Ovis aries: one gene and its partners. The protein of the gene in region 3 interacts with the protein of the main gene of each other region in a pairwise test. Links are inferred from orthologs where the notes say so. Each region holds a gene or a part of one and is shown on either strand. Other genes may lie near its edges. The genes, in order: GTF2I, SLC25A6 and AP2B1.

Region 1 (3,749 bases), on a different chromosome or scaffold from region 3:
GCTTTTGTCTCCCACAGACAGCAGCCCCCCCTCCCCCCTCCCCGCCCTTATCTGCGGTTTCACTTTCCACGGTTTCAGTTACAGGCATTTGGAAAACATTACAGCTATCCCTTGGTCTAGAAGGGTGATTGGTTCCAGGGATGCCCACCCCCCTCACCTTCCCAAAACCCCCAGGTGCCAAAATCTGCAGAAGCTTAAGTCCCTTATATAAAATGGCTGTAGGATTCACATACGGCGTACACACACCCTCCCTTGTACTTTTAATGATCTCTGGATTTATAATACCTAATACAGTATAAATGCTATGTAAATCATTGTAAATACAATGTAAATGCTATGGAAATCGTTGCTGGGCACCCACCCAGCAAAGGCAAGTTCTGCTTTTTTGAAAGTTTCTGGCATTTTTTTGTTTGTTTGTTTTGGAATATTTTCCATCCACGGTTTGTTGAATCCGCAGATGCAGAACCCGCGGATATGGAGGGCTGGCTGCAGATGGAAAATTCCAGAAATAAACAATTCATAAGTTTTAAATTTCACACCCGCCTGCTCCGTCCTGCCCAGGGTCATGAATCATCTCTTTGTCCAGCGTATCCTGCCCGGTAGTCTCTTGGTAGCTGCCTGGGTTATCAGATCTACTGCTGAGGTATCAGCAGGGCTTGTGCTCAAGTTAACCCTTATTTTACTTAATAATGGCTCCAAAGCGCAAGAGTAGTGATGCTGGTGGTTCAGATATGCCAAAGAGAAGCCGTAAAGTGCTTCCTTTGATTGAAAAAGTGAAAGTTCTTGACTTAGTAAGGAAAGAAAAAAAATCTTATGCTGAGGTTGCTAAGATCTACGGTAAGAACGAATCTTCTATCCGTGAAATTATGAAGAAGGAAAAAGAAATTCGTGCTAGTTTTGCTGTTGCGCCCCGAACTGCAAAAGTTACAGCCACAGTCCGTGATGAGTGCATAGTTAAGATGGAAGAGGCTTTAGATTTGTGGGTGGAAGACATGAACAGAAAGCGTGTTCCTATTGACAGCAACGTGTTGCGTCAGAAAGCACTGACCCTGTATGAGGACTTCAGCCAGGGAGCCCTTGAAACGAGTGACACCAAGCCCTTCACTGCCAGTAAGGGATGGCTGTACAGATTCAGGAATAGGTTTGGACTGAAAAATATAAAGATTACTGGACAGGCTGTGCCTCCTGAGGAAGCAGCTGCTGCCCTGTTTCCAGCGGAGGTGAAGAAGTTGATTAAGGAGAAAGGATGTTATCCAAAGAGAGTCTTCAACTGTGATGAAACTGGGCTCTTCCGGAAGAAGATGTCCAATAGAACCTTTATTCATAAAAGTGCAAAGGAGGCACCAAGGCGTAAAACGCGGAAGAACAGATTAGCTCTGGTGATACCTGGAAGCTCACCTCATCATAAGAAGGGTGAGTATAGTGTAATAAGATATTTAGAGAGAGACACCACATTCACGTAACTTTTATTGCAATACATATTGTTATATTGTTCTTAGTTATTATTAACCTCTTGTGTATGTTCGCTCAATTGTGTCCGACTCTCTGCGATCCCCTGGACTGTAGCCCACCAGGCTCCTCTGTCCGTGGATTTTCCAGGCAAGAATACTGGAATGGGTTGCCACTTCCTTTTCCAGGGTGTCTTTCCAAGCCAGGGATTGAACCTGCATCTCCTGCATTGGTAGGTGGATTCTTTACCACTGCGCCACCTGGAAAGCCCATTAATCTCTCACTCTGCATAATTTATAAATTAAACTTTGCTATAAGGGACTAACCTGGTGGTCCAATGGTTAAGATTCTGTGCTTCCACTGCAGGGAACTTGGGTTCAACCACTGGCCAGGGAAATAAGATCCTCATGCATGGCCAAAAAACACCCCCAAAACAAAGAACTTTATTATAGGTGTGTACATACAGGAAAAAAAGATAGTATATAGAGAATTCAGTACTATCCTCATAGATAAGGAGGGGCTACTGTATGCAATAGAATGGAGTGTCCTGTTTTTGGACACTCACCTGCAGGACTACATATGGTGGGTTAAACATAAAAAGAGATGTATATGAAATAATTTGAAATAACCTGCAAGATTCTGCCAGCTGGTAATTCCCTGGCAGTTCAGTGGTTAGGACTCTGAGCTTACACTGGAGGCGGTACAGGTTTGATCTCTGGGTGGGGAACTAAGATCCAACGTGCCGCATGGTGCAGTCAGACTGCAGTCTCAGTCTTGGTACACACATCGTGTTATGTTGAATGTGATTCTAAACAAAAGTTGAGTGTTATTTGAACAAAGGAGGATTCCATAAGAAATCATTCTGAAATATACAAATCAATTTTGTTTTTGTATTTTTCATTTGTTGCTCAACCCAAGCAGTGTAATCTTGTGTTGGAAAACAGCTGGCTGTGCTGAGTTGGTATCTCAAGTGGCATGTAATTCTGATCACCATTAACATAGCACTTGTACCAATGAGGTGAGGGAAAAACTGGTTAACCAACAGCAAGTGCACCAGTAACAGCCAAGGTGAGCCGGGTCTTAAGACTGAACATGTATGATATTTACGACTGTAAGTATCAATCTGAGGGTTAAACCTGCCAATAGCAGTACACGGGGAAAAAAGGTTGACTTCTATACATTGTTCATTGTCCCCAACGGGCCAGCTTTCTGTCCAGAGGCAATTCAAAGCCACCTAAAGTTTTAAGACCAGTTCGATAGTTCAACCTCAACCTCAAGGAAGCTGGAGTTGTTCATGAAGTAGCAGCAAAATTTCACACAGAACTGTTAACTTCAGAAAAGGGGGGGCTATCTCCCACATAAGTTTTTAATGACAAGGGTGCTGCTGCTGCTAAGTCGCTTCAGTTGTGTCCGACTCTGTGTGACCCCATAGACGGCAGCCCACCAGGCTCTGCCCTCCCTGGGATTCTGCATGCAAGAACACTGGAGTGGGTTACCATTTCCTTCTCCAATGCATGAAAGTGAAAAGTGAAAGTGAAGTCAGTCAGTGGTTTCCTACTTTTAGTGACCCCATGGACTGCAGCCCACCAGGCTCCTCTGCCCCTGGGATTTCCAGGCAAGAGTACTGGAGTGGGTTGCCATTGCCTTCTCCAATGACAAGGGTAATCGTGACTAAATGAACTCATCTTACTTCCTAACACCCTTCCAAAGCTCCTCCATTACTCCACCACACCCAGTGCATCCTCCCATCACTGTCTTCAACTTCTCAGTATTCCGAATAATCCGTTCAAGACCAAAAAAAAAAAAAAGTTGTGTTAGTCCCTCAGTCGTGTTGGACTCCTTGCAATCCCATGAACTGAAGCTCACCAGACTTTTCTGTCCATGGAATTCTCCAGGCAGGAATATAGGAGTGGGTAGCCATTCCCTTCTCCGGGGATCTTCCCGAACCAGGGATTAAACCCTGGACCCCCTTGCATTGCAGGAGGATTCTATGCCCTCTGACCCACCAGGTAAGCCCTCAGGGTTCCTATCCCTCCATAAAACATCCTCAGCTGATGCTCACAGCAGCTGAGTTTGCAGCTCCTGGGGTGGTTGCTATTACCAGCTGAATTTTAGGCTTCTCAAGAGTTAATGTTTATCCCTAAGTATGTCAGTTGTACTTGGTATTGGGAAGATGGAGTTTAAATATTTCAAAATGTTAATGAAGAAAGACTGCAAAAAGAAAATTGTTCTTATGAAAAACTAAACACTGTGCAGAAACTTGACAAAGAAAAAGTCTTAATTGAATTAATCGAGGACAA
Region 2 (3,670 bases), on a different chromosome or scaffold from region 3:
ACCCTCAGGACCCTAAAAGGAAGCTGTCTTTGGAAATGAGGGTGGTGGCTCAGATGCTAAAGGATCTGCCTGCAATGCGGGAGACCCGGGTTCTTTTCCTGGGTCGAGAAGATCCCCTGGAGAAGGAAACGGCAATGCACTCCAGCACTCTTGCCTGGAAAATCCCATGGATGGAGGAGCCTGATAGGCTACAGTCCATGGGGTCACAAAGAGTCGGACACGACTGAATGACTTCACTTTCACTTTCAAGAGAGAATGAAGGTGAAATGAGGTCACCAGGCGGCTCTGGGGCCAGACAGACACACCCAGAGGGAGGAGCTCATGAGGACTCAGGGAGTCCACTCGCCCAGGAGAGAGCCCCGCCCACCCCTGGGTCTCAGCCTCCAGCTGCTGGGGCTGGGAGCCCTCAGCTATCAGCAGCTGAGGTGCCTCCGCCCTCCCCCCAGGACAAGCCCCTGCCCCAGGGAGCAGAAGGCCCGGGCCCTCCCGGTGCCGCCCCCACCGTCGCCTCCGGCAGGGAGCTCACCCTTGGCGGTGTCGTAGATGCCGAAGTAGGCGGCGCGGTAGATGATGATACCCTGCACCGACACGTTGAAGCCCTGGTACAGCCCGCGGATGCCGTCGGACTTGGTGATCTTCACCAGACAGTCTCCCAGGCCCCTGAACTCGCGCTCACTGCCCGACTTGCCCACGTCGGCCGCCAGGCGGGTTCGGGCGAAATCCAGCGGGTAGACGAAGCACAGGGAGGTGGCCCCGGCCGCGCCGCCCGAGGCCAGGTTGCCTGCGAAGTACCTCCAGAACTGCGTGTGCTTGTCCACGCCCCCCAGGAAGATCTGCTTGTACTTGTCCTTGAAAGCGAAGTTGAGGGCTTGCGTGGGGAAGTAGCGGATGACGTTGGCCAGGTTGCCCCGCCAGAAGGACAGCACGCCCTGCTCCTTGGGGATACGCACAATGCAGTCCACGATGCCCTTGTACTGCTTGTCGGCCGCGATCTGCTTGCTCGCGTGCTGCACCTGGGGGGCGGCGGAGGGAGACACAGGGCTCTACCGGGGGCCTGGGCACACCGCCGAGACTTAGAGGAGATTCTGGTGAAGCTCAGACAGCTCTGAGTGACTGCTCCAAGAGGTGAGGGAAAGGTCGGTATGGGTGGGATTCTGGTCAACAGAAGTTCATACGAGCTAGGACATATTTTCGCGGAGCGTTTCTTACAGTCTCAAGGTGCATTCGTCACCGTGAAGGTTTTTAATGCTTTTTCACACACGACAGACAGGGAAGCTTGGCGTGCTGCACCCTGGGGCAGGAGTGAGGGGGAACAGGGCTTCACCCAGGGCCTAGGGCAGACCTCCATGGCCACTTATAAAAAATACACGACCCGAGAGTGGCGAGTTACGATCTGGGGCAAGGCGAGGACTACACCCCCCGGGGGAGAGCAGCTCAGATAGCTGAGAGATTGAGCCAGAGGTGAGACTGGATGAGATTCTGGTCAATGGGAAGTTCCTAGAGCGAGCACACACTCTCGCAGAGCCTTTCTCAGAGCCTCAAGGAGCACTCGTCACAGTAAAAGTTTTTAGTGCTTTTCTAAACGATGAACAGGGAAGCCTGGCGTGCTGCAGCCCATGGGGTCGGCAATGATCGGACACATCTGAGCGACTGAACTGAAACATGAGGTGGGCAAGCAAGAAGTGGGCTCACAATCAGCCACTGGAAACATCTGTCTCATGACCTGGCCTGTCACTTTTTCCCAGAACCCGCATGCCTCATTCCTGCTCTCCACCCTGAGGTCCTTTCACGGGGTCTGAAGGTCAGCAGCACCTGACTCAATACTCATAGAGACGGCTCAGACGGTCAAGAATCACCCTGCAATGCAGGAGACCCGGGTTTCACCCCTGAGTCAGGAAAATCCGCTGAAGGAGGGCATGGCAACCCATTCCAGTATGCTTCCCTGGAGAATCCCATGGACAGAGCAGCCTGGCAGGGCTACAGTCCATGGGGTCGCAAGAGTCGGACACGACTGACACTACTACCGCTTTCAGAGGTAAACAGCAGGTGCCCACAAGCGCCAATTTGCGGTTGACACCTGCAGAGGTCACCAACGACCGACGTGTCGTTAATAAGACATTTACACGGGGCCTTTAAGCTCTCCTAGCATCCTTCCTGGGGAATCCTATTTTCTTTAAGGGTGGCAATCCCATCGCAACGCTAATTCCACTGGCTCCCCATTTGTGACGCTCCAAACAGACCAGCGCAGTTTATTCCACCTCATACCCGCGCAAACAAGTGCGAACAGTGGGCAAGAAGACCAGTACAACTGCGGAGACTAAAGATCTTTCCCCGTCCACGGCCCAAGGGGACGGGACCCCACCCACAGCCTCGCAGGGTCCGTCCACGCGGCTCTCCCCCCGCGCATGCGCACTCCAACTCTGCAGCCCCCCAGTGCGCAGGCGCGGAGGGCGCCGCCGCCGGCCGCCCGACGCGCATGCGGCGCCCCGCGCCCCAATGCGGACATCGCCGCCGGGCGCCCCCCGCGCATGCGCTCCCTCGCGGCGGTGCCCACGTGACGCGACCCCCCGGAAGCCAGCCCGGCCGGCCGCGCGCGGACAAAGCGGCGCGACCTCCCCGCTTCCGGTCCCGGGGCCGCGCGCGCGCCCGAGCTCCCCGGGGCCCGGCGCCGGCGGCCGCGCGCCAGCAGCCTGACACGCACCTGCAGCAGCAGCTTGACGCGCTCGATCGGGGCCACGGCCGTCTTGGAGATGGCGGCGGCGATGCCCCCGGCCAGGAAATCCTTGGCGAAGGAGATGGCCTGTTCCGTCATGGCGGCGGGCGGAGAGCGGAGCGGAGGCGCAGAGAAGCAGAGAGAGAGCCGGAAGGTGAGCGCCGCTGGCTCAGCGCTGCCGCCGCCGGGACCGAAAGGACAGGGCGGCCACCGCGCAGCCGCTAAGGGGCCCGCGCCCCGCCCCGCGGCCCCCGCGCGCCGCGCCCATTGGCTGCGCCGCCGCCCGGGCCCCGCCCCCTGGGCGCGCGCACCGCCCCCGCGCGGCCTGCCGGGAGCGGCGCCTCGTCCCGCCCCGTGGGTCCATACGGCCTTGCCCATTGGCTGCGCCGCCGCCCCGGCCCCGCCCCCTGGGCGCGCGCCGCGCCTCCCGCGGGCTGCCGGGAGCTGCGCCTCGCCCCGCCCCGGGGGCCCCCGTGCGCCGCGCCTATTGGCTGCGCCACCACCCAGGCCCCGCCCCTGGCCCGCGCGTCTCGCCGCGGGGCATGTCGGGAACCGCGCCCCGCCTCTGCGCCGAGCGTGCCCGGGGCGGGTCGCGCTGGGTTGCGTGGCGGCCACTCTGACCTTTTCAAGGTCATGCTTGGCCTGGCGGCGGCGACGAACGACACTGGCGTAGGGGACAGGCCGGGCTTTGCGAAGGCCCGCGCCCTCTCTTCTCCCAATCGTAGCACCGGACGCTCGGGTCCCCAGGCTCGTCCACTCTGGCCGGTCCGATCATTGGGGCCCCGGCTCCGCGCCGCAGACCCCCGAGTCCCGCCCGCGACCCCCACCCCCCCACCCAGCCGCCCCGAAAGGTCCTGATGACCCCCGGCGCCCTCCAGGCCCCTGCTCGCCCCGCGGGACGAGCGATGCAGTCTGTGCGTTCTGACCCAGCGTACGAGACGGCCCCGAACCCCGGCC
Region 3 (3,649 bases):
CAAGACACTGAGCAATGGGATCCTACCTGTCTTGACCACAAAGTGGAAGCTTGCTATTTTTTGTTCATCATTTACAGCATATTTTATAGTCTCATTCAGACTATTCTCTCAAGTTCTTGGTAGAAGGGGATGCCCAATCCTCTTAGTTGAGTCTTGTGTCAGTCACAGTACATCACTCCCTTTTTCTTTTCTTGTTAAAATGTGAGCTCACTTTCAGTAGAGATTTTCTTTTCAGATGGGAGTCCTGATGGCCTTTAAGTTCAAAATTGTTGTAAAAGGGCCAATTCTCTATTTGCTTCTGCCAGGTATCCTAGGCTCTATCAGTTCTGGTCCAACTTTACACTGGTTTGGAGAATTCTGTACCTACCCAGTATAAATTCAGGCTCCGGATTTTTCACAAGAGGCCATTAGAACCCTGGTCAGAGAGAACTTTCTCCAATCACTTGCCTCTATGGAAATGTGTTTCTAGTTCCCTTTTCACTGAGGGACTTGCCCTTCCAGGGGGTCAGCTTTATGCAAAGCTCAGTTACAGTTCCCCATCTCAGGTCGACCCAAGGTGGTCTCTTCCGTCCCTGTGAATATTAAAACCCTCAACTTCCAGGCTTCTATCTGTATGTTATCCCTTCAGGTTGCTGGGCTTCAATTTACATGCTTACTACTCTACCTTCATGTTGCTTAAACCCCAGAAGGCTTATTTCAAAGAGAAATTCAAAGTGATGCAAATGAAATGAAACTCTAAGCTAGAACTTAAGCATTCTAAAAATTCAGTATTTTCAAGATGGAGAGGCTCTTTTAGACATGATAAAGTTCTGACCTCCTCTAAGTTGATGTTACACTTACCACATGCATATCATACAGATAACCCAATTATTTATGGCAGTGTATTCAAAGATGACCTCCACATAGCTTTCCTGAAATCTACTCTTGCTGCTGGAGCTGCTAAGTCGCTTTAGTCATGTCCAACTCTGTGCGACACCATAGATGGCAGCCCACCAGGCTCCCCCGTCCCTGGGACTCTCCAGGCAAGAACACTGGAGTGGGTTGCCATTCCTTCTCCAATGCATGAGAGTGAAAAGTGAAAGCGAAGTTGCTCAGTCGCGTCCGACTCTTCGCGACCCCATGGACTGCAGCCTACCAGGCTCCGCCGTCCATAGGATTTTCCAGGCAAGAGTACTGGAGTGGGGTGCCATTGCCTTCTCTGGGAAATCTACTCTTACAACGTTCAAATTCCCTTTTATGAAAGTCTTAAGAAAAAAGTTTATAAATAACACCTTGAAAAGTTTTTGTTTGTAGAATTAAAAAAAATTAGTAACTTTCTGTGTCAATGTTATGATTTTTGCGTGTGTGTGTTTTAATGAAAAATAAGTCTTCTCCACAGAGTTATTTCAAACCCTATTCCATGACTAAATCTAATATGAGAGGAGTTGCTTTACATATAAATAAAATAAAATTGGCAAGATATCAACCTGTACACCCAGACTGAAGTAAGAGTCTAACCTGTAGGTTGTTCAGAGGCTCCATCTTCATGACAGGGCCCAAGGTGTTGAGGGGCAGGGAGACATCGATGCTCTGGTTTGGCATCAGTGGTGTATGGATGGCCAGAGGAGTGCTGGGGATGACACCAAAGCTAGAAGAGAGGGTGAAGAAGTCCTAGAGGTTATTAGGAGGCAGGATTTAGACACATCTTTAGGTTTCCATGGCTTTTTATACAAGGAAACCACATAACCTCTGTTTTCCATGAAATAGATTAGAGGAAGGAGAAAACATTCAGCAGCAGAGAACTGGTTAGCTAATGCCCTGATTCTAAAGTTTTATGTTTATCATGCCACTAGAGGGGCAGATTTGATAAGCATCTTTTTTTATACATCTGTCTTTAGATAATCCTTGGGAGAATACCCACCCTGCAAAGTACACTACTACTATTTCACTAGCTTGATAGCCTGCCCAGTCAGCCCAGAGGATGATTTACGGTAACTCACTTTCTTTTTTCTTTGTTTACTTACATAGGATACAATCATTGGGAAAAAGCCACTCTAAGTAAAGCAGAATTGACTGGTTTAAACATTCAAAACAGTACTCCAAAGGACGAAAGACACACTGCAGACTCAAACCTGGCCACTTTCTTAGCCTAAGGCAGGAAGTGAATATCCACTACAGTTAGACTTCTCACAGAAGCCTACATGATAATAATATAAAACAGTAAAGAGCTAGGAAAAGCCTGAGTTAGAAGTCACATAAAAACAAAAATGTATGAAGGAAGACCGAAAGGGAAAAGTTGGGCCACAGGTATAACAAATGAACAGCTTAATGATACAAATTTACATTGAACTTATGCTCTAATTAGCCTCAGGAAGAAAGATGAGATTATAATGTAAAGTAACTAGAGTTTTTTAAGCAGTATCAATTTCAGAACAGCAGGAGAAACATTTTCCTTTTCCTAGATAAACTATACTTTAGAGTCCCAAATGTAATAAATGATTTTGAGTAGACACATCAAATCATTTTGGTATTAACATTTATAGGTCAAAAACTATTCTGCCCTTTTGATCTTGATCTCATGATTGATCTATGTGGAACACCATAGGGAATCTTTTAAAAAGGCTACCAGAACTAGTAAGTAAGTTTATTGAAGTTGCAAGATACAAGTTCAATATACAAAAATCAACTGTATTTCTATAAACTAGCAACCAAAAGTTAAAACATGCTACTTACTGTAAACATCAAAACTACGAAACACTTAAATACAACATAAGATGTGTAAGATCTATACATGAAAAATTATAAAATACTGTAGAGGGAAGTTAAAGATGTCTTACATAAATGGAGAGATACGCTATGCTGATAGATTGGAAGACTTAGTATTGTTTGTTGTCAGTTCTTCCCCTAACTGATCTATATATTCTCTATACCTTCCATCAAAATCCAAGCAGGAAAAAGACCTAGAATTGCCCAAAACAATTTTTGAAAAAGAACATAGTTGGAGGGTTTATACTATATGACTTCAAGATTTACTACAGCAAGACTTTGCTTTGACTCTTACTTTACACCATACTGGGCTTCCCAGGTGGCGCTAATGGTAAAGAATCCACCTGCCAATTCAAGAGATGAGGATTTCCGGATCCCTTGAAGGAGAGCATGGCAACCTACTCCAGTACTCTTGCCTAGAAAATTCCACACACACAGAAGCCTGGTGGGCTACAATCCATGGGGCCATGAAGAGTCGGACACAACTGGACACTGCACACTACACCATATTATCACACCAAAATTATCTCAAAATGAATTATAAAGGCAAACATAAGAGCTTTATTGACTGCCATTTCCATTAAAATTTTTTTAATTGTATTAATAACTGTAGGTCAGGTAAAGATTTGATAAACAGAACACAAAAAGCGAAAGACTTAAAAAGGAAAAAATTGTAAAATAAACTGTGTTTAAACAAAAAACCTGTTCCTTGAAAAACACTAAGAGAGTACAAGTAAGCTACAGACTGGGGGAAGATTATTTCCAAGGCATATCTGAAAAGTACTTATAGCTAGAAAATATAAAAAACTTTACTACTTGATAATAGGACAAATAATTTTTTTAAAAAAGAAAAAGGAATGATCTGAGAAGATACTTCTCCAAAGAAGATATAAGATTAGTCAAC

Evidence for each region.
Region 1: the proteins of AP2B1 (region 3) and GTF2I interact in binary tests that used the Homo sapiens proteins (3 or more experiments, as listed by UniProt). The link is inferred for Ovis aries from reciprocal best matches to the Homo sapiens genes AP2B1 and GTF2I.
Region 2: the proteins of AP2B1 (region 3) and SLC25A6 interact in binary tests that used the Homo sapiens proteins (3 or more experiments, as listed by UniProt). The link is inferred for Ovis aries from reciprocal best matches to the Homo sapiens genes AP2B1 and SLC25A6.

The regions. Positions count from the first base shown.
Region 1 is NC_056077.1:33,329,344-33,333,092, reverse strand, and holds the start of GTF2I (general transcription factor II-I), read left to right. Parts: upstream 1-1,079; 5' UTR 1,080-1,301; coding exon 1,302-1,413; exon of another isoform or gene 1,414-3,749. UniProt on the Homo sapiens protein: Interacts with the basal transcription machinery by coordinating the formation of a multiprotein complex at the C-FOS promoter, and linking specific signal responsive activator complexes.
Region 2 is NC_056080.1:6,639,737-6,643,406, reverse strand, and holds the start of SLC25A6 (ADP/ATP translocase 3), read right to left. Parts: upstream 2,813-3,670; coding exon 2,702-2,812; intron 1,014-2,701; coding exon 527-1,013; intron 1-526. UniProt on the Homo sapiens protein: ADP:ATP antiporter that mediates import of ADP into the mitochondrial matrix for ATP synthesis, and export of ATP out to fuel the cell.
Region 3 is NC_056064.1:14,410,297-14,413,945, forward strand, and holds part of AP2B1 (AP-2 complex subunit beta), read right to left. Parts: intron 1,628-3,649; coding exon 1,498-1,627; intron 1-1,497. UniProt on the Homo sapiens protein: Component of the adaptor protein complex 2 (AP-2). Adaptor protein complexes function in protein transport via transport vesicles in different membrane traffic pathways.